Coturnix japonica: one gene and its partners. The protein of the gene in region 1 interacts with the protein of each later gene in a biochemical or structural test. Links are inferred from orthologs where the notes say so. Each region holds a gene or a part of one and is shown in the gene's direction. Other genes may lie near its edges.

What was found.
Region 2: the proteins of ADRB2 (region 1) and MAGI3 form a complex in vitro, tested with the Homo sapiens proteins (2 studies listed by IntAct, with this or other methods). The link is inferred for Coturnix japonica from reciprocal best matches to the Homo sapiens genes ADRB2 and MAGI3.
Region 3: the proteins of ADRB2 (region 1) and SLC9A3R1 form a complex in vitro, tested with the Homo sapiens proteins (3 studies listed by BioGRID and IntAct, with this or other methods). The link is inferred for Coturnix japonica from reciprocal best matches to the Homo sapiens genes ADRB2 and NHERF1.
Region 4: the proteins of ADRB2 (region 1) and GRK6 form a complex in vitro, tested with the Homo sapiens proteins (2 studies listed by BioGRID, with this or other methods). The link is inferred for Coturnix japonica from reciprocal best matches to the Homo sapiens genes ADRB2 and GRK6.
Region 5: the proteins of ADRB2 (region 1) and GRK2 form a complex in vitro, tested with the Homo sapiens proteins (2 studies listed by BioGRID, with this or other methods). The link is inferred for Coturnix japonica from reciprocal best matches to the Homo sapiens genes ADRB2 and GRK2.

What each region holds. Positions count from the first base shown.
Region 1 is NC_029528.1:10,594,123-10,599,383, reverse strand, and holds the start of ADRB2 (beta-2 adrenergic receptor), read left to right. Parts: upstream 1-2,107; 5' UTR 2,108-2,329; coding exon 2,330-3,503; intron 3,504-5,261. UniProt on the Homo sapiens protein: Beta-adrenergic receptors mediate the catecholamine-induced activation of adenylate cyclase through the action of G proteins. The beta-2-adrenergic receptor binds epinephrine with an approximately 30-fold greater affinity than it does norepinephrine.
Region 2 is NC_029541.1:3,744,597-3,749,119, forward strand, and holds part of MAGI3 (membrane-associated guanylate kinase, WW and PDZ domain-containing protein 3), read left to right. Parts: intron 1-693; coding exon 694-868; intron 869-1,671; coding exon 1,672-1,751; intron 1,752-3,198; coding exon 3,199-3,256; intron 3,257-3,715; coding exon 3,716-3,810; intron 3,811-4,071; coding exon 4,072-4,260; intron 4,261-4,523.
Region 3 is NC_029533.1:9,145,108-9,150,057, forward strand, and holds the start of SLC9A3R1 (Na(+)/H(+) exchange regulatory cofactor NHE-RF1), read left to right. Parts: upstream 1-1,567; 5' UTR 1,568-1,614; coding exon 1,615-1,980; intron 1,981-4,950. UniProt on the Homo sapiens protein: Scaffold protein that connects plasma membrane proteins with members of the ezrin/moesin/radixin family and thereby helps to link them to the actin cytoskeleton and to regulate their surface expression. Necessary for recycling of internalized ADRB2.
Region 4 is NC_029528.1:11,947,262-11,950,496, forward strand, and holds part of GRK6 (G protein-coupled receptor kinase 6), read left to right. Parts: intron 1-124; coding exon 125-162; intron 163-285; coding exon 286-375; intron 376-478; coding exon 479-687; intron 688-955; coding exon 956-1,093; intron 1,094-1,395; coding exon 1,396-1,533; intron 1,534-1,728; coding exon 1,729-1,863; intron 1,864-2,621; coding exon of another isoform or gene 2,622-2,627; exon of another isoform or gene 2,628-3,235.
Region 5 is NC_029520.1:139,272-144,315, forward strand, and holds the start of GRK2 (beta-adrenergic receptor kinase 1), read left to right. Parts: upstream 1-1,498; 5' UTR 1,499-1,661; coding exon 1,662-1,774; intron 1,775-1,934; coding exon 1,935-2,011; intron 2,012-2,516; coding exon 2,517-2,590; intron 2,591-2,776; coding exon 2,777-2,878; intron 2,879-2,969; coding exon 2,970-3,044; intron 3,045-3,226; coding exon 3,227-3,288; intron 3,289-3,532; coding exon 3,533-3,584; intron 3,585-3,736; coding exon 3,737-3,828; intron 3,829-4,047; coding exon 4,048-4,147; intron 4,148-4,225; coding exon 4,226-4,304; intron 4,305-4,401; coding exon 4,402-4,532; intron 4,533-4,773; coding exon 4,774-4,871; intron 4,872-4,945; coding exon 4,946-5,044. UniProt on the Homo sapiens protein: Specifically phosphorylates the agonist-occupied form of the beta-adrenergic and closely related receptors, probably inducing a desensitization of them. Key regulator of LPAR1 signaling.

The sequences.
Region 1 (5,261 bases):
CCCTTGTCACAGTCCTGAAGAAGATGCGTGTACCTGAAAGCAAAGCTGTTTGTTTCCACTTGTGTCAGCTGGGCTGGTAAAAGCGATTACCTCTTTCTCCCAGCCTTGCCTCTCTCATTGATCCCACTGGCCGCTCTTCAAATGTCATCCCGCAAGGAAGGAGCACACATCCAATTGTGAAAGGAAAAGATCAACGTGATGACAAAGCAGCGGGGTCAGTGTGGGGATGTGCTGCGTGAGATAAACAGGGTGCACCTGGCTCTGACACCCTGCAAGCTAGGGCCCCCAGAAGGAGGCACTGTGGGGTTGGCAGAGCCCCCCAGCACTATGGGCAGTGCAAGAATGCAAACTGGACCCTCCTCCCAGCCTCTACTCTGATGTTTGGTATTATTTCTGTTTGAAAAGAAAGCCTGAAACTACTCAAAAGCACAAGTAAAAGCAGGCAAACCGCAGAAGTAACCCAGATTTTGGGTGATGACGTTTATGTGGGGCAAAATCCTGCCTTTATGTTGAAGTTGCTGTTCATTGCTGCACAGTTTGGGTCGTGGCTGAAGGCAGCCTGGACTGAGGGCGCAGCCCTGCACACCCCGTGCAGGTGAGCAGATGGCCAAAGCAAGCAGAGAGCTGCCAAACTGAGGAAGAAAGTTCAGCCCTGCTGCCTTCCACCATGGCCCGCTAAGCACGCAAGGCACAAACTGCTGTGAATATAACATTAAAAATGCCAAAATACTGAGATAGAAGCTGGGTTTGCTGAGTTCTGCATCCCACACCATGGTGGTGATGGAGGCTCTGGAGAAGGATGGAGGGCCATTACCAGGATGTGCAGGATGAACAGACAGCTCAAGTGTGTTCTGCATGTGCTATGAGACACAAATCTGAGCTCCGACCCTCCCAGACTCAGTGTGTTTTCTCCTAAGCTCCCAAAGCTGCCTCTCCTCCTTTCAAGACAGCACTTCTTGCAAGGATAAGCATGAAATGTCTATTGGAACAAGGAACCTGATACTTCCTGAAAGTTGTGATTTAGTGTCAGAGCATTTCCTGATGTTAGCCTTACAGGAAGCAAACTTGCCAGTTACTACCATAGACTTACCTTGATCATTTGGCAGAGTTTTCTGACCAGGTCTTCAAATAGAGCATTGGACAGTGAGCTGAGCACAACATGTAGTTCCCACACTCATCACTTTTCCCTCCTGCTCTTCTCCCCCAACATTACATCTGATCCACCTGCATTTTCCTAGCAGTTTTCTGCTGTGTTCTCCCCATGAGGTGCATGCACCGTGCAGGAACCTCAGTGCACAGGAGCCTGCAGGTGTTAAGCCTGTATTCAAGGATGGAACAGATCCTCACCTGGTGCAAAGCCAGTGTGATGTTACAGCCTTCCACCAGCTGGCTGCAGCCATACGTTGCATGGATTGCGTGGATCCCTTTAACTCAATGGTGGGCACTGAAAAGTCCTGGTAATTAACTAAGGTCATTAGTGCTCCCCTGCACTCTTGGCTGCTTCACAAGCATTCCAAAGCCACCCGTTACAGCCCCTGAGCCAGAAGCACGAGCTGCTGCAACTGCAACTTCATCGTGTTTCCTGATTCCAGCACCTCGCTCACCCCTCGGTGTTAAACCACAAAGCTCCCCCTGCGTGCAGGCGGCTCCTGTATTGATAGCGCTGGCTGAGAGGCTGCGGGCAGCCCCCGCTCACATACGGTGCCACCTGCGGGACGGCAGCACGAGGAGATGGGACCCTTCCGTGCACAGCAATGCGCAGACATGGCGTTCCAGCCAGAACGTTATCTCTCGTGACACTGAAGTTTGTAGGATCCCTCAGCCCTTATTTAGGATATTTGTTCGCTTTGGTGGCAGGGAGCAGCGCAGAAGTCACATAACCCCGTGTCGGGGTGTCGGGGGGCAGCGGGACCGCAGCGTGGGGAGGGAGACGGACGCCTCCGTTCTCAGGCTGTAGCGTGGAGCTGGAACACGCGTGGGGCGGCTGCCGGGCCGGGGGGCACACGGGGGGGTGCGAGGTGCGCGCAAGGCGCGGCGCCGGCTGCCATTGGCCGTGTCGGGCTGATGTCACGGCGGGTGTTGCTATAAGCTCGGCGGCGCCGAACGGGCTGGGGACAGTCGGGCGGGTGAGACGCTGCGGGACGAGTTGGGTCGGGTGAGGAGCGGGGCGATCTGGAGCGGAGCGCAGCTCGTACAGCCCCGCACGGCGGGAGCCACCGCTCACAGCCCGCACCTGCTGTTCCCTATGCGCGGAGCCCGGCGAAACGCCACGACATCGGAACGCTGAGAGCAGCCCCCGCAGCCTGCCCGGGGATCCGGCTGGGGGGACATGGGGGTGGAGGGCACCGAGCTGCCCGGCGGCAACGTCAGTGCCAACCAGAGCGCAGCAGACCCCACGGTGTCGCGGGACGTGTGGGTGGTGGGCATGGGGATCCTCATGTCGCTCATCGTGCTGGTCATCGTCTTCGGCAACGTGCTGGTGATCACCGCCATCGCCCGCTTCCAGCGCCTGCAGACGGTCACCAACTACTTCATCACCTCGCTGGCGTGTGCAGACCTGGTGATGGGACTGGGTGTGGTGCCCTTCGGTGCCTGCCACATCATCATGGAGATGTGGAAGTTTGGGAACTTTTGGTGTGAGTTCTGGACCTCTCTGGATGTGCTTTGTGTCACCGCCAGCATCGAGACCCTGTGTGTCATCGCTGTGGATCGATACTTTGCCATCACCTCCCCATTCAAGTACCAGAGCCTGCTGACCAAGAGCAAGGCACGTGTGGTCATCCTGATGGTGTGGGCCATCTCGGCCCTCACCTCCTTCCTGCCCATCCAGATGCACTGGTACCGGGCAGACCGTGATGAGGCCATCCTCTGCTATGAGAAGGACACGTGCTGTGACTTCTTCACCAACCAAGCCTATGCCATTGCCTCCTCCATCATCTCTTTCTACCTACCGCTTGTGGTCATGGTATTTGTGTACGCCAGGGTCTTCCAGGTGGCCAAGAAGCAACTGCAGAAGATAGACCGGAGTGAGGGCAGGTTTCACATCCAGAACAAGGAACAGGACCAGAACGGGAAAACCGGGCACCGCCGTTCCTCCAAGTTCTTCCTGAAGGAGCACAAAGCTTTGAAGACCTTGGGCATCATCATGGGCACCTTCACGCTGTGCTGGCTGCCCTTCTTCATCGTCAACATCGTGCACGTCATCCAGGACGACATCATCCCCAAGTACGTGTACATTCTCTTGAACTGGCTGGGCTATGTCAACTCTGCCTTCAATCCCCTGATCTACTGCCGGAGCCCAGACTTCAGGTACGCCTTCCAGGAGCTCCTGTGCCTCCGCAGGTCTGCTCTGAAGATGTACGCTAATGGCTACTCAAACAGCAACGGCAGGAGTGACTACAACGAGGAGGAGAACGGCTACCCCCTGGCACCAGAGAAAGCCTGCGAGCTGCTCTGCGAAGAGGGCTCCTTCCCTCACCCTGAGGACTTTTTGCACTGCAAAGGTACTGTGCCTAGTGGGTAGCTCTGAGATGCGATGGGCTCTGGCGTGGCACACTGCTCCTAACGATGAGCCTTCCTCTAAGGAAAAACAAAAACCCAGTAATAATAACGATCCTCACCTAAAGCACACCTAAACCTCAATGGCTGCAAGGAACCTAAAACTCAGCAAACCTCCTGCAAACAGGTGGAAGGCTGCCCTGGGTGGCTTGGGTGGGCTGGCTGCTTGCAGAGGTTATGAATTTAAGTGCACGACCTTAGGTCCCTTGAGCCGGGGGGGTGAGGAGTGCTGGGGGATGGTATTTTAAGGCTGTGCAGAAAGCTCGTCCCAGGAAGAACTTCCTGGCTGTGGCCGATGTTGAACTACCTCATGAGCTCGGTGCTGGCGGCTGCTGCGGGAGCGCTGTGCTCCCCGAGCTGTGCAGCACCTGCCCCCATATCCCCCCCTTTAGGGATGCTTAGAGCTCTGTCGGCTGCGTCTGATCCTGTTGCTGTCAGTGGGAAAGTTTAAACAACGCCCGGAAAAACAGAACAAAACAAAACAAAAAAAAAACAAACCCACGACAACCACGAATGCGTCTTTTGCCAAGTGCTATAGGACTGTCCGCTGAAATAAGGATAGAAATAAACGGAGTCTTTGCCCAGAATGTGATACAGTGGGTGTGGGACTCAGGAACGTGATAATGGGAAGCTGGGCGATACGCTGCTGCAGTCGCAGCCCGTCCTTTTATCGAGACCGCAGCCAAAGCTCTTGTAGCCGCCCAGTTTAAATTCGGCTCTCAGCCCGTAGAGGTGGGCAGGGAAGGTTTTATTTTCTGTCGCTGAGGGCTGACAGTCCGGCAGCGCAGCCCTGGCCGCGGGACGGCTCTGGGTTGGTCTGTCGGTTTGTTTGTGAAGGGTTTTTTCCCCTTGCAGCGGGCTTTGCATTGCGTTCCCGCAGCACTTGGCGGCGGGCGCATGGGCTGTCACGGTGGCAGACGCGAGCGGGCAGGTGGGGACGGACGGACGGACGGACGGACGGACAGGGTGGCTGTGCTGCTCGGCGCTGCTCGGAGACCCCGCTGGAAGAAAGCAGCGATCGCGGGGCTGAAATGGAGCTCCCCCCCTTCGCTTTCTTCCTCAGCTGCAGTTTGAAAGAGGGGAGCCGAGGAGGATGTGAAAGTGCGGTGTCTATAGAAGCACGTGGGAAAGATGGGGGAGGGACGGCCCCGCGCCCCGTGGGAGCTCTTCTCCCCAGGGTTGGCACCGTTAATAGGAGGCTCGCAAAGACCTGGGCTGTTCTGCCCACTGTTCCTGCAGCCCCCGAGGGTGCGCCCAGGGAACGCTGGATGGGATCGGCTCATAAGGTGCTGCAAGGTGCAGGGTGGCTGCAAACTCATTCTTGAGCCCTTGGCGTTCCTCATGGTAAAGCCCCACCCGGTTTTGTGGGGAAGGGTTTAGAAATCCTCGTGCTCCCTTCTGCCTTCCCCCAGGTATCCCAATCCGGTTTGGGAGGTCAGGCAGCCCCTTAGCCCTTTCCTAACCCTATGTTGGATGCTGGCTCTGCTCTGCTTGCAGCCTCTCCAGCTTGGTGCATGCTACAGAGTGGCAGGGAATGTGTGCAGCAGAGCTCTGTGTCACTGCCAGCTTTGCTGCCCGTGCCCACCTGCACCTTCCTTGGAGCTGTCAGCAGTGTCCGAGCACTCCCGAAGTCATCAGGTTCAGCTTTTACATTACAGTGTGAACAAACGAGAGGGGTGTGATGGCGCAGGGTGGTGTGTGGC
Region 2 (4,523 bases), on another chromosome or scaffold:
TTGGAGAGAAGCCGTCACATTGAATTTGCAGACGATCCTGTTTGTGAGCGTTTAAGAAAGACTTATATTGACCGGACCTGACCTAATCTTGCTAGCTTTAATGCTGGCAATGCCACAGCACAGAGCACCCAGTGGCCTGGCTGGTGGTGATGTGAAAGTCAGGGGCACCATAGTGTGGCTGAGGATGCCAGGCATAACCTTTGAAGTACCAAGCTGAGGCCTGCATGAAGTGTTAGCAGGGATTTTGAGGAGGTTTTGCTCCTTGTAGCTTGCATGAAAAAGGTGTGTTTCACTTATTGGCAGTTTGGGTCTTTTCTATGTTTTAATGTTGGTGCTTTGAGGAATAATAGTAGAACTCCTATTTGTTTATTGGTGGTATTACAAACGCTGTTCTCTGTGTGAGGAGGGAAACAAATTAGTCAGCTCGCATTCCTGCCCGTGCTGATTTTGTAGCGTAGGCTCAGACAAATAATATGAGGTTAATTCTCTTTGGCAGGGGCAGAACAGAGTTCAGTTTTTTCATGTCAGCTTTTCAAAGTCCATAGCTGGAAAAAAAAAAAAAAAGTGGAAAAATGCTCATCACATCCAGGGACGTGTTTGACATTCTCTCATAGCCAGATTAAGAGGGTGGTGCTTAGTGAGAAACAGCATAAGCATCTGACAAATAGTAATGCTTTCCCTGAACAACTGCAGAAAACAAAGAAAAACACTCAGATTCTTCTGACTGGATGAAACCTGTTCCCAGTTACAACCAGACAAGCAGCTCCATGGACTTCAGAAATTACATGTCAAGGGATGAAACCCTGGAACCTCTGCCCAAGAACTGGGAGATGGCCTACACTGACACTGGCATGATCTACTTCATCGAGTGAGTAGCCCAACACTGCCAGCAGGAAAGATACGTGCTGAAGAGCCACAGTCTGGGTAGCTGCCTAATGCTCTTAGACCTGTCCTGTTCTTTTACTTTATATTCCTATATATTTAATTTTATATATTTCCTGTCATTTGTTCCTTACTGTTAATCATTTATGCTACGTATTTGATTGCTGTTGTGCAGGGAAGTGTTATGGCTCCACGTGCATAGTCAGTTTGCAATGTGAGTTATGTATCTCATAAAATGCAAAGCTGGCTGGATGTTGGTAGGGAAGGTATAGCATCATATGAACTTTTACAATGACAAATCTCTCTGACATCTGAGAACTTGCGTGTTCTTTCTTCTCAGCATGAGTTCCTTGGCTGGGAATGCCTGCTTGAAAAGATGAGCAGCATAGATTAAAGCTCAGGATAGAAAAGCAGTTCATGTGTGCACATGTGAAATAGCCTCAATTATGAATTCTGAGGTGAAAAGAAATAAAAACCCAATTGAATGTTAATTATACAACTAAAAGCGTTTGCTGCTTTCAGGTAGAAATAGATGGTGTTTCCACGTGAGCTTTCTGGGGCACAGGAGAGCATTCCTCTCATGTTTCACATCTGTCCTCAGGAGTCTCCAATGCTGGCACCTCTGAGTATCGTTGTCACCTTTTCTATTTAGCATTTGACTGAGGCATAAGCAGGGATTAGGTTATCTAATGACTATGGTTTGACCGAGGTAGTAAATATTTAAGGTAAAGTGAAATTTCTTGAGTCTGAGGAAGTCCTCTTCTTTTAATGGGCTGTTTTGCTCTGCAGCCACAACACAAAGACAACAACATGGCTCGATCCACGGCTCTGTAAGAAAGCCAAAGCTCCTGAAGATTGTGAAGATGGAGGTGAGATATTTAGAGCTTGTTTGTTACTGTGGCTGATCAATGGTTGAGTTTATCAGGGCTAGTTGAGATCCATTACTGCTGTGACAGAAACTTACTGCTGATACACGTGCCACTGGAGCAAATAGAGTGTAGTGCTGAGTATCCATAGTTCAGTGGTAGTGAGAGTCCACATAAGACTGGGAAAGACCATAATGGATTTTTCCTGGAGCCGTGGAATCTGACTGAATCATGGATGTATCTGCATTCCTGAGAAGAGAATGATATATGTTGTTCCAGTGAGTATCATTGCTAAGGAGAAAGCTGGATATATCAGCAGCAATCGTGCTGGAAATTTTTATGTGGGTGGAACATGGCAGGGATAAAAGGTCCATAAATACTAGAATATATGCAGAATGAAGATGCAGTGTAATACCTATTGCTAGTAATGTGTATCACAAGCTTTATGGTATAACATTTGAATGTGTTAGTAGGGGTAACAGCTCTTCATGCTGCTGTTTCAAGACTTGTAAGTCAGGCTCACGACTGACCCACAGACGACACCTGTATCCATTTCCTATGTAGTCTGTGATTTAGTCAGCCAAAAAAGGAGCACCAAGTAGCTCAGTCTTCAGCAAACGCACATTACAAAAGCTGAGGCAGATTCAGAACAGCCTGTCATCTCCTTAAATTGCACAGGCTAACAATCATGTATTCATAATGAAGCCAGCTGGAGCAATGGACTCATACCGCTGCTTGTTAAACATACGTGCAGCACACCACAGGATAAAAAGAGCACTTGAAACGGAGAGATGCAGGATATCCAAATGAACAACGTTTAAATGAATAGCCCCCCTGGGTCTTTTGTCAAATCCTGTGGAGTGATGCTGATACTAATAAGTGGTAACATGCTGTCATATGCAAGGAAAATTGCTGGTACCTTCAAACTTAGGGCAGCCTCAAACAAGATTACACAGAAATTTTATCCCTCGGAATGTCTGGTTACCTGGCTGTGTCAATTATTCAGCTATTTAAATTTCCCTGGTCATGGTAACTAGAACAGTAAAGCTAAAGTAATTGGACCTCTGTTTTAACTGCCTGCCACCTCTAGTCACTAATGATCTGCTGCTGCTTACCATCTCACCAGACTTTGTGTTTTCTATCCCCTTTCATATGTTCTTCCTTCCCAAATAGGTTAATTTGGGTCTAAGTTTACTACAGACTTAAATTGATGTGGTTTTGTTAAATAGAAGTCTGATCCAGTGGAACAGAGTGAGAGGTGCAGGGCTTCAGGTTCCTTGGAATAAGCCAATGTTTTCTCATCAGAAGAAAAGTCTCAAACAAAAAAAGGGGAAAAAAAAAGTGATTTCTGTTTAATTCATGTTTTTCATCTGTCCTTTTTTTGTAAGAGTGCTGATATTTGCAGGTAGTTTTCCAAAGTAGTGGAGAATTTTGTTCTTTCTGATTGCAGAACTTCCTTATGGATGGGAAAAAATAGAAGATCCACAGTATGGAACATATTACGTTGAGTAAGTGCTGAGTATTAATTTGGAATAGGCACAAGCTGAGCAGAATGCAGGGAAGCAGTTGCATAGCAGTGTATATAGATTGCACTGAGTAAAGATAAGTTCTAGAGGCTGCTGTGCACATTTCTAAATCACTGAAGGACCATAATATGGTTGTGCTGACATATTGGAGTGAAGTTCTTCTAGGGAAGGAAAGCAAGTAGCAATGATAGTAATTAATAAATAGGAATGAGCTTGGAAGTTTGTGGAGTGGGATGAAGGTATACTCTCCCAATTGGTTACAAGTGAAATCACGTTGTTTTTTAAAGTAAATCAAGTTGAAAGGAAATAAAAACAAAAGACATTCCATGTTGATTCTGATAGTTTGGAATTCATTCAAGCAATAGTATTTGTGGGTTGTCTCTTGGGATGGTGCAGGCAGGATGGTTTCCTCTGATACCTTAATCTACCTTTTGTCTACAGTCACATTAACCAGAAAACTCAGTTTGAAAACCCAGTGTTGGAAGCCAAAAGGAAAAAACAACTGGGACAGACTGATGGTGGCCCTTCAAAATCAGGTATCACTAAATATATATTGACGTCAAGGGTAAGAGAGTAAAACCAGAAATTAGAGGTGGGAGATTTCATTTGTCCCCTGTTTTAATCTGTAATACAGTTTGGAAAACATGCAAGTTTGGTAGCCAGGCTTTAAGATATCTTCCTTAATTCTCTGATTGTCTGTTTTACGTGTGCTTGTGGTCACCGTACTTTGGAGATGTAGTGGCCGCCATAAAGCAGCATTGCTGATGGTTGATTATATTGCATCTTATCATGCACAGGGGCAGAGAAGTCTCTCTTCACTAGAGATCCCTCCCAGCTTATAGGAGCACTTATACGGACCTCACTGAAAAAAAGCACGATGGGTTTTGGTTTTACCATCATCGGAGGGGACAGGCCTGATGAGTTTCTCCAGGTGAAGAACGTGTTAAAAGATGGACCTGCTGCGCAAGATGGGAGAATTGCACCAGGTAAATCATTATTTCTCTAAGCTTGCATTTCTTCTGATGCTTTTTAGAGTGTGCAGCTGCTGATGTGCGAGATTGAGAGGACGGTTTTCTCCTGGGAATATTGTATTGCGTACACAATCTTGATCACTGTGATGTGTATTATGAAACAGGGCTTCAGGATTTGACATGTACTTTCCCTTCACTTTGAAATTACATGCTTAACCCACACGTGGCAACAGCGCAAGGCTATGAAATACGCGTGGGCGCAATCCTAGCTTAAGTTC
Region 3 (4,950 bases), on another chromosome or scaffold:
GGGTGTCCCTGCCTGTCCATCCCGCTGCAGTTGGCACCACATACAGACACCCCCGGAGCACCCGGTGGCCGCTGAGGGCACTTCCAGTACACGCAGCACTTTGGAAAAGCTTTGTTTTCCCCTCTTGCAGCTGCAGAAATTGGAAGCTTTTCTATTGTTATTTACTTCCCTTTGAGGGAAAAGCTTTTTTCTTCCCAGTCGTTCCAGACAAACCCATCACTTGGGCTGTGGATGGGGCTGAAGTGGCCCATGGCATCACACCCCGGGCACTGTGCTGTACGGGGCAGGGAGACGGGGAATATCTGGGTGTGCTGCTCCAGATGCCAAGGGCAGCTGCAGAGGGCACCACTCTGATGCACTTGGGGTCAATTGGTCACATCCATCCCCACGAGGACCCCCCTTTCCCAGAGCCCCCTTCACCCCCGCGCCCCCCTCGGGTCCCTCTTTGCAAGTGCACAGATTAAAGCTGGATATTTTCAAGGCTTTGCATCTGCCTGTTTTTCTCTGTGTGAGAAATCCCTGCCCCGGGCCCTCCACGTGGGCGGCCGTACAGCACGGCGGGGAATGGGATGTGGGGCACGCAGCGGGGGAAGAGCCCGCAGCCCCCTCCAACTCCCAGCGCTCGGGCCGCACATTTCAGACAGTCCAAAGGTGAGAGGGGAAGAATAAACACGGCCTGTTAAATTAAAACCAACCTCCTCCCCTGCTGTTCTCATGGTGCGGAGTCCAGCATTCCCCAAATAACTCCGGCTTCCCACCAATGGCATCAGCTGCCGCCTCTCGGCTCATGGCTGCGAAAAATGCCGGACATTCAGCACAAGCGGCTCTTGGCTCCGCGCTGCTTCCCACCCTCAGCCGGGCTGTGCCGGCGCTGCAGGAGCTGTGCGGAGCTGTACGGAGCTGTACGGAGCTGTGCGGGGCTGTACGGAGCTGTACGGAGCTGTACGGAGCTGTACGGGGCTGTGCGGGGCTGTACAGACCCCCCAGGACCCGTCCGCTCTGTGGGTCGCAGCTGTTGTCGGGACGGGCCGCAGCAGCAGCTCCGTGTTTCCTGTCGCTCTGGGCTCGTTTCTTATCGCAGCCCCGCGCTACAACCGCCGCTACCGGGGCCGGGGCTCGTTTCCTGAACGAGAGGAGCGCTCCCCAAAGGGCACCACCCCCCCCATCCCCTCCCGCTCTGCCTTCCCACCCGCGCTGATCTCCCATCCCGGGGCGTTTCGTAGCCCCCGTAACCGGCTCTGAATGGCGATGCTGTGTGATGATGCTGTGTGATGCTGTGTGATCCGGGTGGTCCCGTTGGGTCCCGTTGGGTCCCGTTGGGTCCCGGTGGGTCCCGGTGTGTCCCGGTGTGTCCCGTTGGGTCCCGGTGGGTCGCTCCGTCGCGTTGCGGTTCCGCTGCCCGCGCCCTCGGGGCTACATTTGCATAACCCCGCCCACTCCCTTATTTGCATAACCGGTCGTTATTTGCATAATTCCGCCTTATCGCCGTCCTGAGCCCGCCCCCTCCCTCTCTGATTGGCCGGCTCCGCCTCCAGCCCCGCCCCGCGGTATAAAAGCCGCCGCCGGTGGCGGGCGGGCGCAGAGCGTTGAGTCGCGGGTCGTAGTTCGGCCGCCATGAGCTCCGCTCCGCCGGGACCCGCCGCGCCGCGGCTGTGCTGCATGGAGAAGGGCCCCGACGGGTACGGCTTCCACCTGCACGGCGAGAAGGGCAAAGCGGGCCAGTTCATCCGCAAGGTGGAGGCGGGGTCGCCGGCCGAGCGCTCGGGGCTGCGCGCCGGGGACCGGCTGCTGGAGGTGGACGGGACGAACGTGGAGCGGGAGAGTCACCAGCAGGTGGTGGAGCGGATCCGGGCCGCGGCCGGGGCTGTTCGGCTGCTCGTGGTGCAGCCGCTGCGCGAGGAGCCGCCCGGGACACACGGCGACACCGACGGCCGCGAGCAGCGGGAGCCCCCGGCGGAGCGGGGCGGCCACGGAGACACAGTGAGTGCGGGGCGGGGCGGGGCGGGCGGCATCTGGCGCACGTAGGGCCGGCCCGGTGCCCCCGGGGCTTCGCTCCTCGCTCAGGTCTCGGCCCGTCGGGTCGCGCCCCCCCCGCTCCGTCCTTGTGCCGCAGGAGCGAAACGGGGTCAGGCGTGTGGCGAGGGGGGGGCGGGGGGAGCTTGATGGCGACGCGTGAGCACGGGGGGCTGCCCGGCCCGGCCCGGCCTCCTGCCGCCGTGTGTCCTTTGCTTTGGGTTTTGCTGTTGTTTGCTCTGCTCGCTCCGGGAGTTCTCACTTCCAGCCCCCAGCGCTGCGTCGTCACCTCCAAAGAAGAGAACAGAGCAGGTGCCGGGTCGCCCCGAGGCTTTTGGCGTTAACTGCCTCTGAAATGCAAATAGGATTTGGCGAGGGGAGGCGTCGTGCTGCGCCGGCCGCTCTTGCCCTGAACTGCCCGGCTTCAGCCGCGCCGCGGGGATGGGGAACGCGGAGCCCTTCGGGTTTCAGAATGTCCGAAGCACGTAGGAGTCAGCGGTTGCACAAACAGGGCGCTGCAGAGGGGTGAGGAATGGAGACCCGCTGACCTTTCCTGCCCGCAGCAGTTTCTAAGGGACGCTCGGGGCTGCCGCGGATAAAGCCGCTTTTTGTTTGCTCGGTGAAAACAAGTATTTGTTGTTGCGACCGAGGCGCTTCCTGGGAGGCCGTGACACAGAGCTGCGCTCCGCTCCTGCAACCCGCCCGCGGTGCCGAGCTGTTGTCCTGCAGGGCGAGGTGCTGCTGTCACCCAGCGCTGACTCTTCCCTTTGTCTAAAGCTCCCACGGGCCGCCCGTGGGCTCTGGTGGCCGCAGGGTGCACGTCGCCCCAGCTGGAGTCTCAGGGCAGGACACGCTGCGTGGGAACGAGCAGGCTGTGCTCCCACGGCATCCAACATATGGCGCAGTGCTCGCGTCCCCCCCGGCCACCGAGTCCTTCTGTGCTGCGCCCTCTGCTCCGTGAGCTGGAAGGATTCATTGGGACGCGGCTGATGGGGCCGGGGAGCGCCCTGCCCTGCACGCCTCGGTGCGCAGCTCCGTGCGGGGGTGGGACGGTTCCGTGCGGTTACCGCTGACAGCTCCTGTCGGTGTGGGAGCAGGAAGTCGGTGACGCTGCTGACACGGGCTGATCTCGGTGCAGCCCGGTGGTTTCACAACAGGTCGCCGGAAGCCGCGGGGCTGGGGCCGGTTCCCAGCCTGGGGAACCCGGAGGAGCCGCAGGACGGCGCTGGGAGCGGAGCCACCGAGCGGGGCGGGTTGTGCCCCCGGGCCGTGCCCGGCCGCCCCGTGGTGGGGATTCTCCCGGGATCGGTGCCGGCAGGAGCGCGGCGAGTCCGTGTGTGTCAGAGTCCTGTTTGCTTTGTGGGGCAGGGCTGGCCTTTATTTGCATGCAGGCTTGGAGACGCGTGTTGCCAGCGGCCGGCTGTCAGCCTTCCTGCTCTGTGCTGCTCTGTGCTGCTCCGAGCGCTTAACACCTCGGCCAGGACACGGTCCCCCTTAGCAGGGAGCATTGCCACAGCTGGATGCCACCCCAGGGGACATGATGGGCTTCAGGACGCCCGTGAGTGCACCCACCCACAGCGGGCATGGCTTTAGGGTCCTGGGGGTGGCCCCAGGTGGCAGAACACAACTTGAGCCCTGCTGGGGCTTTGCACCACATGGGACTGTCCCCGGTGTTTGTCTGTGGGTGGTGGCCCCCCGCCCCACACCGTGTTTCCGGAGGCTTCAGCTGCACGGCAGTGCTTTGATACAGCTCCTCGTGCCGGGCTTTCACTGCAGCACTGCTCCTGCTGCCCAGCGCCAGCTGTGCCCAGTGCTCACAGTGCTCAGATGCTGAATGCAGCGCTTGCTCTCCCCTGCAAAACCCATCTGAGCCCCCGGGTGCAGGTTGGGGTGTGGTGAGTGCAGCTGGGTGCATTGTGCAGGGAGAGCTGAACTGAGAAATGTATTAAATTACTTCTAGAGCCAACTGTGCTCGGGAGCAGGAGTGGGCTGCATGAAAAGCAGCTCCAGCCTGGCCCTACGTGACAGGGATGCTGCAAGAGGCTGCTTTGCATCCCCTTTGTATGGGGCCCCGGCGCGTGTGCCAGATTTCAGGACCCGTGTGAATGTGCTGGCCTGGCTGTCCTCGCAGCCCGTGTTTCTGCCGGCTGCTGGGAGCTGCCTGCAGCTTGTTGCTGCTCACGGGGCTGCAGGAGCTTCCTGTGAGCTGGGGCTGCAGATGCTGCTCATTGGGTGCTGTTACTGCGCTGGGAGCTGTGGGCACCCCGGGCGTTTTGCTGCTCCTGTGCTGTGCAGGCTGGGGTCCCTCCGACACCAGGCACTGTGTGCCCTGCTTGGAGCTGCTCCTGCAGCCATGGACGGGACACGATGTGCTGCAGCTCCGCTCCCTCCCGGCTCTGTCAGCTCTGCTTTTTGGACTTGGCACATCATGGCCCACCTGGAGCATTGCAGCAGCCGTGCTGTTGTGTTGCAGCCCCATCTGACATCCCATGCAGAGCACAGGGGATGCACTGGGCAGCTCCCGGCCAGCACATGGACACAGCTGGCTGCTGGTACGTCCTGCCGTAACCTTTGGTCCCCAGCTGGGCGTTGGTGAGCCTTGACCCCACGGTGTTGTGCAACGGGGACGGGGCTGATAGCAGCTGTGGGGCTGTCACACAGGCTGTTCTCATTGCGTGGCTGCTCCAATGTGTCACCCTCGGCAGCGCCCTGTGTCTGTCCTTGGTGCCAGCCCAGGATCATTGCTGGCCAAGGGAGTTTCGTGGTGTGATGTGGGTGTGCTGTGGGTAAGGAGCAGCGCAGGGCACGCACGAGGGGAATTCCTGCCTGTCCCCAGGGATGGTTTGGGTACCAAAGTAGGACAGACGAAGGGAAGGATAAGTGATGAAACCCCGTGGTGAGGGATATTTTAGGAACTCCAGTGTGACTTTTGTCACT
Region 4 (3,235 bases), about 1.4 Mb from region 1:
TCCAGGATGGAGTCTGCCTACAGCAGGGCTTTGCATCCCTCTGCTGTTTACCTGTGACTTCTTGAGATCTCACCAATCCCAGTGTCCTTTGCTTTCATTGCTGATCAAGTCTCTTCCTTCCTAGGGATCTGAAGCCTGAGAACATACTACTGGATGATCATGGTGAGTGCGGAGCCTAGGTCCTTTTCCCTTCTTGTGCTTGAATCAGAGTTGCTCCGAGTTCTTGGCAGCTTCAGTTATCGTCTCATGACTTTGATTTGTTATCTTTTGCCCTCCTCCTTGCAGGTCACATTCGTATCTCAGATCTGGGGCTGGCTGTGCATGTGCCTGAGGGCCAAACAATCAAGGGACGTGTGGGAACAGTTGGCTACATGGGTAAGAAGTGATCCTGGTTTAATTAAAAAGTAGCCTCTGACTCCACTGCACTGCACTGTACTCTCCCTGATCTCACATTTTTCTCACTCCTGCTTCTGTATAGCTCCAGAGGTGGTGAAGAATGAGCGCTACACATTCAGCCCAGACTGGTGGGCACTGGGCTGCCTGGTGTATGAGATGATTGAGGGACAGTCCCCCTTCCAGCAGCGCAAGAAGAAGATCAAGCGAGAGGAGGTGGAGCGGTTGGTGAAGGATGTGCAGGAGGAGTACTCGGAGAAGTTCTCGCCGTGTGCCCGCTCCCTCTGCACCATGGTAGGAGTGCAACCCTGTCCCCTATCACCTCTTTGCACACAGCAGCCAAACATCATGACTGCTCCCTGTAGAGGCACAGATAGGAATGAGGTTCCCTTGCTCTGACACTGGTAACATAGTGCAGGAGGGTCCAGAGTGCCTTAATTCCTCACTCACAGATGCCTTGTGAGCCCATGTCATTCCTGGAGACAGTGCAGGAGTCCACCAACCCCAGGGCTGCTCCTGCCCAGTATGCTCTTCCTGGCACACTGATTTCCTTGTGTTACAGCTCCTGTGCAAAGACCCTCTGGAACGCCTGGGCTGCCGAGGAGCAGGGGCTAGGGAGGTGAAGGAGCACCCTCTCTTCAAGCACCTCAACTTCCGGAGGCTGGAAGCGGGCATGCTGGATCCACCCTTCAAGCCAGATGTAAGTGCCTGTCCACCTCCTCACCTCTTCAGTCACTGTTGCTGTCAGGGTGAGAAGGAGCCCTGCACTGGCTCACCTGAGGAGGTGGGGTCCATCCCTCTTTGTTTCTGGGGCTACTGCTCTGGCCATTTACCTGAGGGTGGGCTGCTGGTCACAAGTGGGTCTTACCAGTACTCCCTGCCTGGCAGAACAGAGTTCAGGCAAGCAGGTAGAAGGGGCTCATGCTTGACCAGTATCCAAGTTATTTCAGTGAGTGTTATCACTGTGCAGCCTGGCATTAGAGCAATGTTTGTGCTGTTTAGCCCCAGGCCATCTACTGCAAGGATGTTCTGGACATCGAGCAGTTCTCCACAGTGAAAGGAGTGGAACTGGAGCCCACAGACAATGACTTCTACCAGAAGTTTGCTACAGGAAGTGTGCCCATTCCTTGGCAGAACGAGGTGGGTGGGAACTAGCATGTACACCTTTTTTGCAGGACAGGTCTTTGCCCCTGCTTGTGCTCACTGTGGCTGTGTGCAGTGTCCCACAAGGCAGGCAACAGGAACTCTGCTGTCACTGCTGCCCTTGCACTCTGCTGGGCTCTCAGTGACAGGCTTTGTGTGGCAGTTGCTGCAGCCATTTTTGCCCTCTTCCAGATGATAGAGACAGACTGTTTCAAGGAGCTGAATGTGTTTAGCACAGATGGCACAGTGCCCCCAGACCTGGACTGGAAAGGGCAGCCTTCACCACAGCCCAAGAAAGGGTTACTCCAGCGCTTCTTCAGCAGACAGGTAAGAGTGCATGCCCAGTATTTCTTGCACAGCCCTGAGCCCTCTCTCCCTGATGCAGAACGGTCAGGAAGGTGGGAATGTAGGGGCAGCAGATATGAGTCCCCCTGCTGGGCTGAATCCCAGGGCTCTTGGGAAGTCCTGTGCAAGGCTGCAAGGAACCAACCCTTGCCTGGCTGACATTCACATTGCTGCATGTTGAGGGGGCTGGTATGGAGTGTCCTGGCTAAACATGCTGCAGTTGCACAGAGTGATGCTGCTGACGGCTCTAAAATAGCAAGTCTTCTCCCTTCCTACGTGAATAATACCATCCCTGAAGAAGACCTTCATCTTGCTGTGGTCTATACAGGCTCTGGGGATCCCTTGAACACTTCTGCTAGGCCTTGAGCAGACAGAGAGAGCAGTGCTTTCTAGGGATGAGGAGAACAGAAGCATCGTGCATCTGCTGTGGGCTCGCCTGCCTGTATGTCTCCTCTGGGCCAGAACAGTATTTGCCTTCTTTCCAGGACTGGCAAAGTCTGGGCTGCTGCCTCAACAGCTGCTAGCAGCTGTGGCACTCGAGCACGGTTGGCTCTGGCCTGCCCTGGACCCATTCCCAGTCACCCAGTGCTGCCTCTGACTTCCCTGTCGAGTTCCCATTTGTGCTTAACTGTTCGTCTTGCTGGAAGACACAGCTCTTCCGTAGGCAGGCAAGACCTGCACAAGGATGGGCTGCCTCAGGCAGGGACTGAGCTGTGATTTGCCACGTTTTCTCTTTCCAGAGGTGAGCAGTCTCTCCTGGCTGCTCTGCTCAGGGAAATACCTGGTGGCCCACGGACATGGCGAGATCTGGGAAAGAGGAGTGTTATCCTTCAATGCCTGACCCCTTCCCCCAGCAGAGCACAAGCTGTTTGTTGTTCTAACTGCCCCCTGAGCCACTAATCCTGCTCCCTGCTCTTGCTGCCTTCCCCACTGTTGGGGAAGCTTTACCCTCAGCTTGAGCCAAAGCTGCCCCTATACTGCTGCAGCTGGGAGCTCTGTTCCCAGGGGGCTGCGAGAAGGCCAGGGATCCCTTCTCTCTTTGGATGTCCTGGATACATGGAAGAGTTGAGACACTGTGAAGCGTTTGGCATTGTCCCATGCTCAGGCTCCCTCCCCAGGGCTTCAGCTGCTTTCTGTGACCTGATGAGTCCAGACTAGGGCAGATTGTATGCGCTGGCACTGAGCTGTCTCCCTGGGTGCCTGTAGTCCCATCTTCCTCCCAGCTTCTGAGCCAGTCAGCTATGCACTCACAACTACGTCTGCTAGGAGCTGAGTCCCAAGGTGCAGCTTTGTTTCTCTGCCAGAGGGCAGCTGTAGACCAGGTTGTGACTGTGCTTTACCCTCTGCTTGCTGT
Region 5 (5,044 bases), on another chromosome or scaffold:
GTACGAGAGGAGGACCGGGCCCGCAGCAGGGAGCTCCCAAGGTGGAGGTTGTTGCCGAGATCCCTGGGTGGAGAAACGGGGCGCACCCTCTTCCCCCTACTTTTCCCCAGCTCCTTGCCTTGAAACACTTGTCACTTCCCTGTTAGCACAAAGCTTGAGGCCTCTCCAAGGAGGAGGGAGCAGAGCTGGGACGGGCCCTCTCTCTCGGTGCCACCACCAGCTCGAGCCCTGCTCTAAACCCCCTCACCCAGCCCTTGGATTCCTTTCTTCCCCTGCAGCAGCGAGGGCAGGAGCCCTCCAGCCTGGGCATGGCGGCAAGGTTGGGGATGGGGCTTCCACCCTGGGGCGCTTCCTCAGAGCCCTGTGCACAGGCAGTGGCCGAGGCTCGGCTGGGGGAGCAGCCCCCAGAGCTCAGGGAGGACTCGAATAATCAGCCGCGGGTGAGTGAGCACGGGGGGGGGGGGGGGGGGGGGGGGGGGGGGGGGGGGGGGGGGAGGAAGCTGCTGCATCTCCCTCCCCAGCTGCCTACCACGGCCGAGCGCTGACATTCGTGTGGCAGGGCTGCCTCGCTGCCTTGTCCTCTCATCTCCCACCCTCCCCCCCACCCCATTTTAGCTGCCGTTTTTTCCTTTGCAATGAGCGGTTGGTCCAAAGAACCTCTCTCTTGGGCAGCAGAGAGCTTTTTGCACTTTAAGAAAAAAAAAACAAAAAAACAAAAAAAAAAAAGCAAAAAAAATTAAAAGTAAAAAATCGGAAAAAAAACTCAAGATATGAGGGAAAAAAAAAGAAAAAAAAAAGTTGGCATCTTTTGGGTCGCTCTTTCGTTCCCCTCCCTGCCCGTGCCCGGCTGCTGCTCCTCTCCCCGGTGCATGGCACAGCGCAGCCCCCAGAAGCAATAAGGGAGGAGAGGAGGCTGCGGGCGGGCTGTGAGCAGCGCTGGGGGGGGTTTAGGGAAGGAGGGGGCAGAGCCCCCATCTCTGTCCTGGTGGCTGTTGCTGCGGCGTTTTTCTTTCTTCTTGGGTTCATTTGTTTGAGTTTTGCCACCAGGACAGAAGCGAGGGGAGCGGTGCGGGACCCCCCCCATACAGCCCCTCCATACAGCCCCATAGCCCCGCAGGGACAGCGAGCTCCCAATACACAAAGAGAGAGTTCTGTATATGGGATCGCTCAGTGATTTAAAGCGCCCGCACCGCGCCCGGCTGCCTCCCGCAACAACTCCCCATCGTTTAAAGGTTTCGTTGTGTTTTCGTTCCGTTTCGACCCCCCCCTCCTCCCTTCTCCCCCCTCGGAGACATATTGTAAATATATATTTTTTGTTGGCAATTTAGAGTCCAGCCGATGTTTGTGCTTTCAAATTAAATGTAAGCGTTAAGGGTTCAAGCAAAACCAAGTCGCGTGCGCTCTCTGCGTTGGGGCCGGGGGGTGTTGGGGGCACGGAGGGGCCGTTTGTTCCTGGCTGGTTGTTGGTTGTTGGGTTGTTTGCGGAGCTGGGTTGGACATCTTTGCTCCTCCAGCATTACTGCAACTACTGCCATACTGCAGCTCCGGGCTCAGCCCCGCGCACAGCTCGGGCCCAGCCCAACGCGTTTCCGGCTGCTCCTACTTCCGCTTCCGGGTCGCTGCTGGGGGTCGGGCCGGTGCCGGCCTCGGCCCCGCGCAAGATGGCGGATCTGGAGGCTGTGCTGGCCGACGTGAGCTACCTGATGGCCATGGAGAAAAGCCGGGCCGCACCCGCCGCCCGCGCCTCCAAACGGATCCTACTGCCCGAGCCCAGGTGAGTGCCGTCGGGTCGGGGGCACCGGGCCGGGCCCTGCCTGCCCTGCCGCCCTCGGCCCCGCCGTGCCCCTACGGAGCCCCCGTCCCCAGACACCACCGGGGCGCGTAGGGGCAGTATGGGGCAGTGTGGGCCGAGCTGAGCCCCGGCCGCCCCCCAGCATCCGCAGCGTCATGCAGAAGTACCTCGAGGAAAGGGGCGAATTAACCTTCGACAAGATCTTTGCGCAGAGAATCGGTGAGTGGGGGCTGCGGGCGCCGCCGTGGGGCTGCGGAGGGGCTGGGTGGGGTCCTCCCCCCCCCCCCCCTCGGTCCGCCCTGCCCCGCCCCGCCGCTTCCCCTCGCACTAACTGTCCTGGGCAGGAAGCGCCTCTTGCTTCCTCCCCGCGGCTCTGGTGGTTTCCGGCACCTCCGCCCTCTGGCAGCCCCATAGCCCTCCTCTGGCAGCCCCATAACCCTCCCGGCAGCCCTATAGCCCTGCTCAGCGCCATAGCCCTCCTCTGGCAGCCTAGTAGCCCTCCCGGCAGCCGCATAGCACTCCTCTGGCAGCCACATAGCCCTCCTCTGGCAGCCCCACAGCCCTCCTCTGGCAGCCCCACAGCCCTGCTTAGCTCCATAGCCCTCCTCTGGCAGCCCCACAGCCCTTCTCAGCCTGCTGTGCTCTTGTTGTGTGGCACCACATCGCTCGGCCTGGGTGCCACACTGTGATGCGGTCACCGCTCGCAGCACTGCCTCTACCCCAGGGTACCTGCTGTTCCGGGACTTCGCCCTCAACCAGGCTGAGGAAGCCAAGTCCCTGATGGAGTTCTACGAAGAGGTGTGATGTGGGGCTGGGGATGGGGTACCCTCTGATGCACCTGGGGGAGGTGGTGCCCTGGATGCCTGGAAGCAATGCACTCAGTGCCCAGGGTCCTGATATCCACAGGTGTCCACGAGACACTGTGCACTGTGTGCTCCTTGTGGGGCTGTGCCCTCTTCACCATGCAATCTGTGTCCTTGGCAGATCAAGAAATACGAGAAGCTGGACTCGGAGGAGGAGCGCCTGAGCAGGAGCCGCCAGATCTACGACCATTACATCATGAAGGAGCTGCTGGCCTGCTCCCATGTGAGTGCTGTGCCTCATCGTGCCAAGCCACAGGAGATTCCACCACCGTGTCCACCTCCTCACGGTGATGTGGTGCTGTCCTGCCCTGCAGCCATTCTCCAAGAGTGCTACAGAGCACGTGCAGAGCCTCCTGAGCAAGAAGCAGGTGCCCCCAGACCTCTTCCAGGTAAGTGCTGTCCGTGACGTGGAGGGGATGGTGGCACTGGGGTCACCAGAGACAGCTGGCCTTGGGTGGCAGAAGGTGGTAGTGGAGGTGTGAGATATCCCACCTAGAGGTGGGACCTGCAGGGAATGGGGCGGACCTGGGTGGTACTGGGGATGTAATGCTGACCCCCGTGTTACCCATAGCCCTACATTGAGGAGATCTGCCAGAACCTGCGTGGGAGCATCTTCCAGAAATTCATTGAGAGGTGAGACAGGAGCACTGCCCAGGGAGATCTGTCTCTCAGGGTGCTGCAGGGCTCCTGCTGAGAAGTTCCAGTGCTGTCTGTCCCCACACTGGAGAGTTGGGCCAGTGTCACTCCCAGTTCTGGCCTGGGGTCTCTTTTCCCACATGGGGTCCTCTCCACAATACGGATCTCCTCTGCCCTTCCTTGCGTCTTAGAGGTCTCCCCAGGGGTCCCTCGCTCTCACCCTCTCTGTGCTTCCTTGCAGCGACAAGTTCACGCGGTTCTGCCAGTGGAAGAATGTGGAGCTGAACATCCATGTGAGACCTTGCTCCTCGGGATACAGCCAGGGAGGGAATATGGGTCCTGGTTCTAAGGGAGCTCCAGGAGACTGAGGCAGGGTATGGGACCCCCCCAGGACACACAGGGGGTAGCTACCATCGGGTGATCCCCTCTTTCTGATCCACTTCAGCTCACCATGAATGACTTCAGTGTTCATCGCATCATCGGTCGCGGTGGCTTTGGGGAGGTCTACGGCTGCCGGAAAGCAGACACAGGCAAAATGTAATGGGGCTGGGGAGCTCTGTTCTTGTGGGCAGGGGGGGTGAGCGGTGTTGCCGTGATGGTGGGCATTTAGCGGTGCCAGAGCATTGCTGTGTCTCCACCTTCTGGGGCAATACATCATGGTAGTTGGGGGAAGGAGCTGTCTGACCACAGATGTCAAAGAGTGGGCGTGGTGGGTCCAGGTAGCAGCAGGACCCCACAGGGACTCTCTGCCCCCAGGTATGCCATGAAGTGCTTGGACAAGAAGCGCATCAAGATGAAGCAGGGTGAGACGCTGGCCCTCAACGAGCGCATCATGTTGTCCCTTGTCAGCACAGGGGTGAGGGGATTAAGGGCACAGGGTGATGCGGGGTGCTGAGGCACAGCTGGCTTGGCATGACATCTTCTCCCTGGCCAGGACTGCCCGTTCATCGTGTGCATGTCTTATGCTTTCCACACACCCGACAAGCTCAGCTTCATCCTTGACCTAATGAACGGTGAGAGCCTATAGCTGCTCCCCATTCCCAGCACCGCAGCCCCCTGGCCTCCCCGCCATGGCATTCCCAGGGTGACTGCTGGCGCCTGTTACTGCAGGGGGAGACCTGCACTATCATCTGTCTCAGCACGGCGTCTTCTCGGAAGCAGAGATGCGCTTCTATGCAGCAGAGATCATCCTGGGCCTGGAGCACATGCACAGCTGCTTCGTGGTGTACCGTGACCTTAAGGTGACCGCCCCCATGAGCACCCACCCACTGTGTGGAAATCTGGGGGCCCTACAGACCTCCAGGTCCTATGGGCACCCTACACCCAGCAGGAAGCCCCTAGGCACTGTGGGCATCTCTGGGACCCTGCAGTCATCCCTGCACCCCATATTGCACCCATCCTAACGTGCACAGGCACCCTCAGCCCAGCTGCCACCCATGGCCGTGGGCTGGGCTGTGGCTCAGGGGTGGCTCCATGTCCCAGCAGCCAGCAAACATCCTCCTGGATGAGTTCGGTCATGTCCGCATCTCAGACCTCGGACTGGCCTGTGACTTCTCCAAGAAGAAACCCCATGCCAGCGTGTGAGTGTGCCCGCCCATCTCGGCACTCCCCTGTGATTGCTGGGCACGGCCCTGACCTCGCTCTGTGCCCCCAGGGGTACCCATGGCTACATGGCTCCGGAGGTGCTGCAGAAGGGAACGGCGTATGACAGCAGTGCCGACTGGTTCTCGCTGGGCTGCATGCTCTTCAAGCT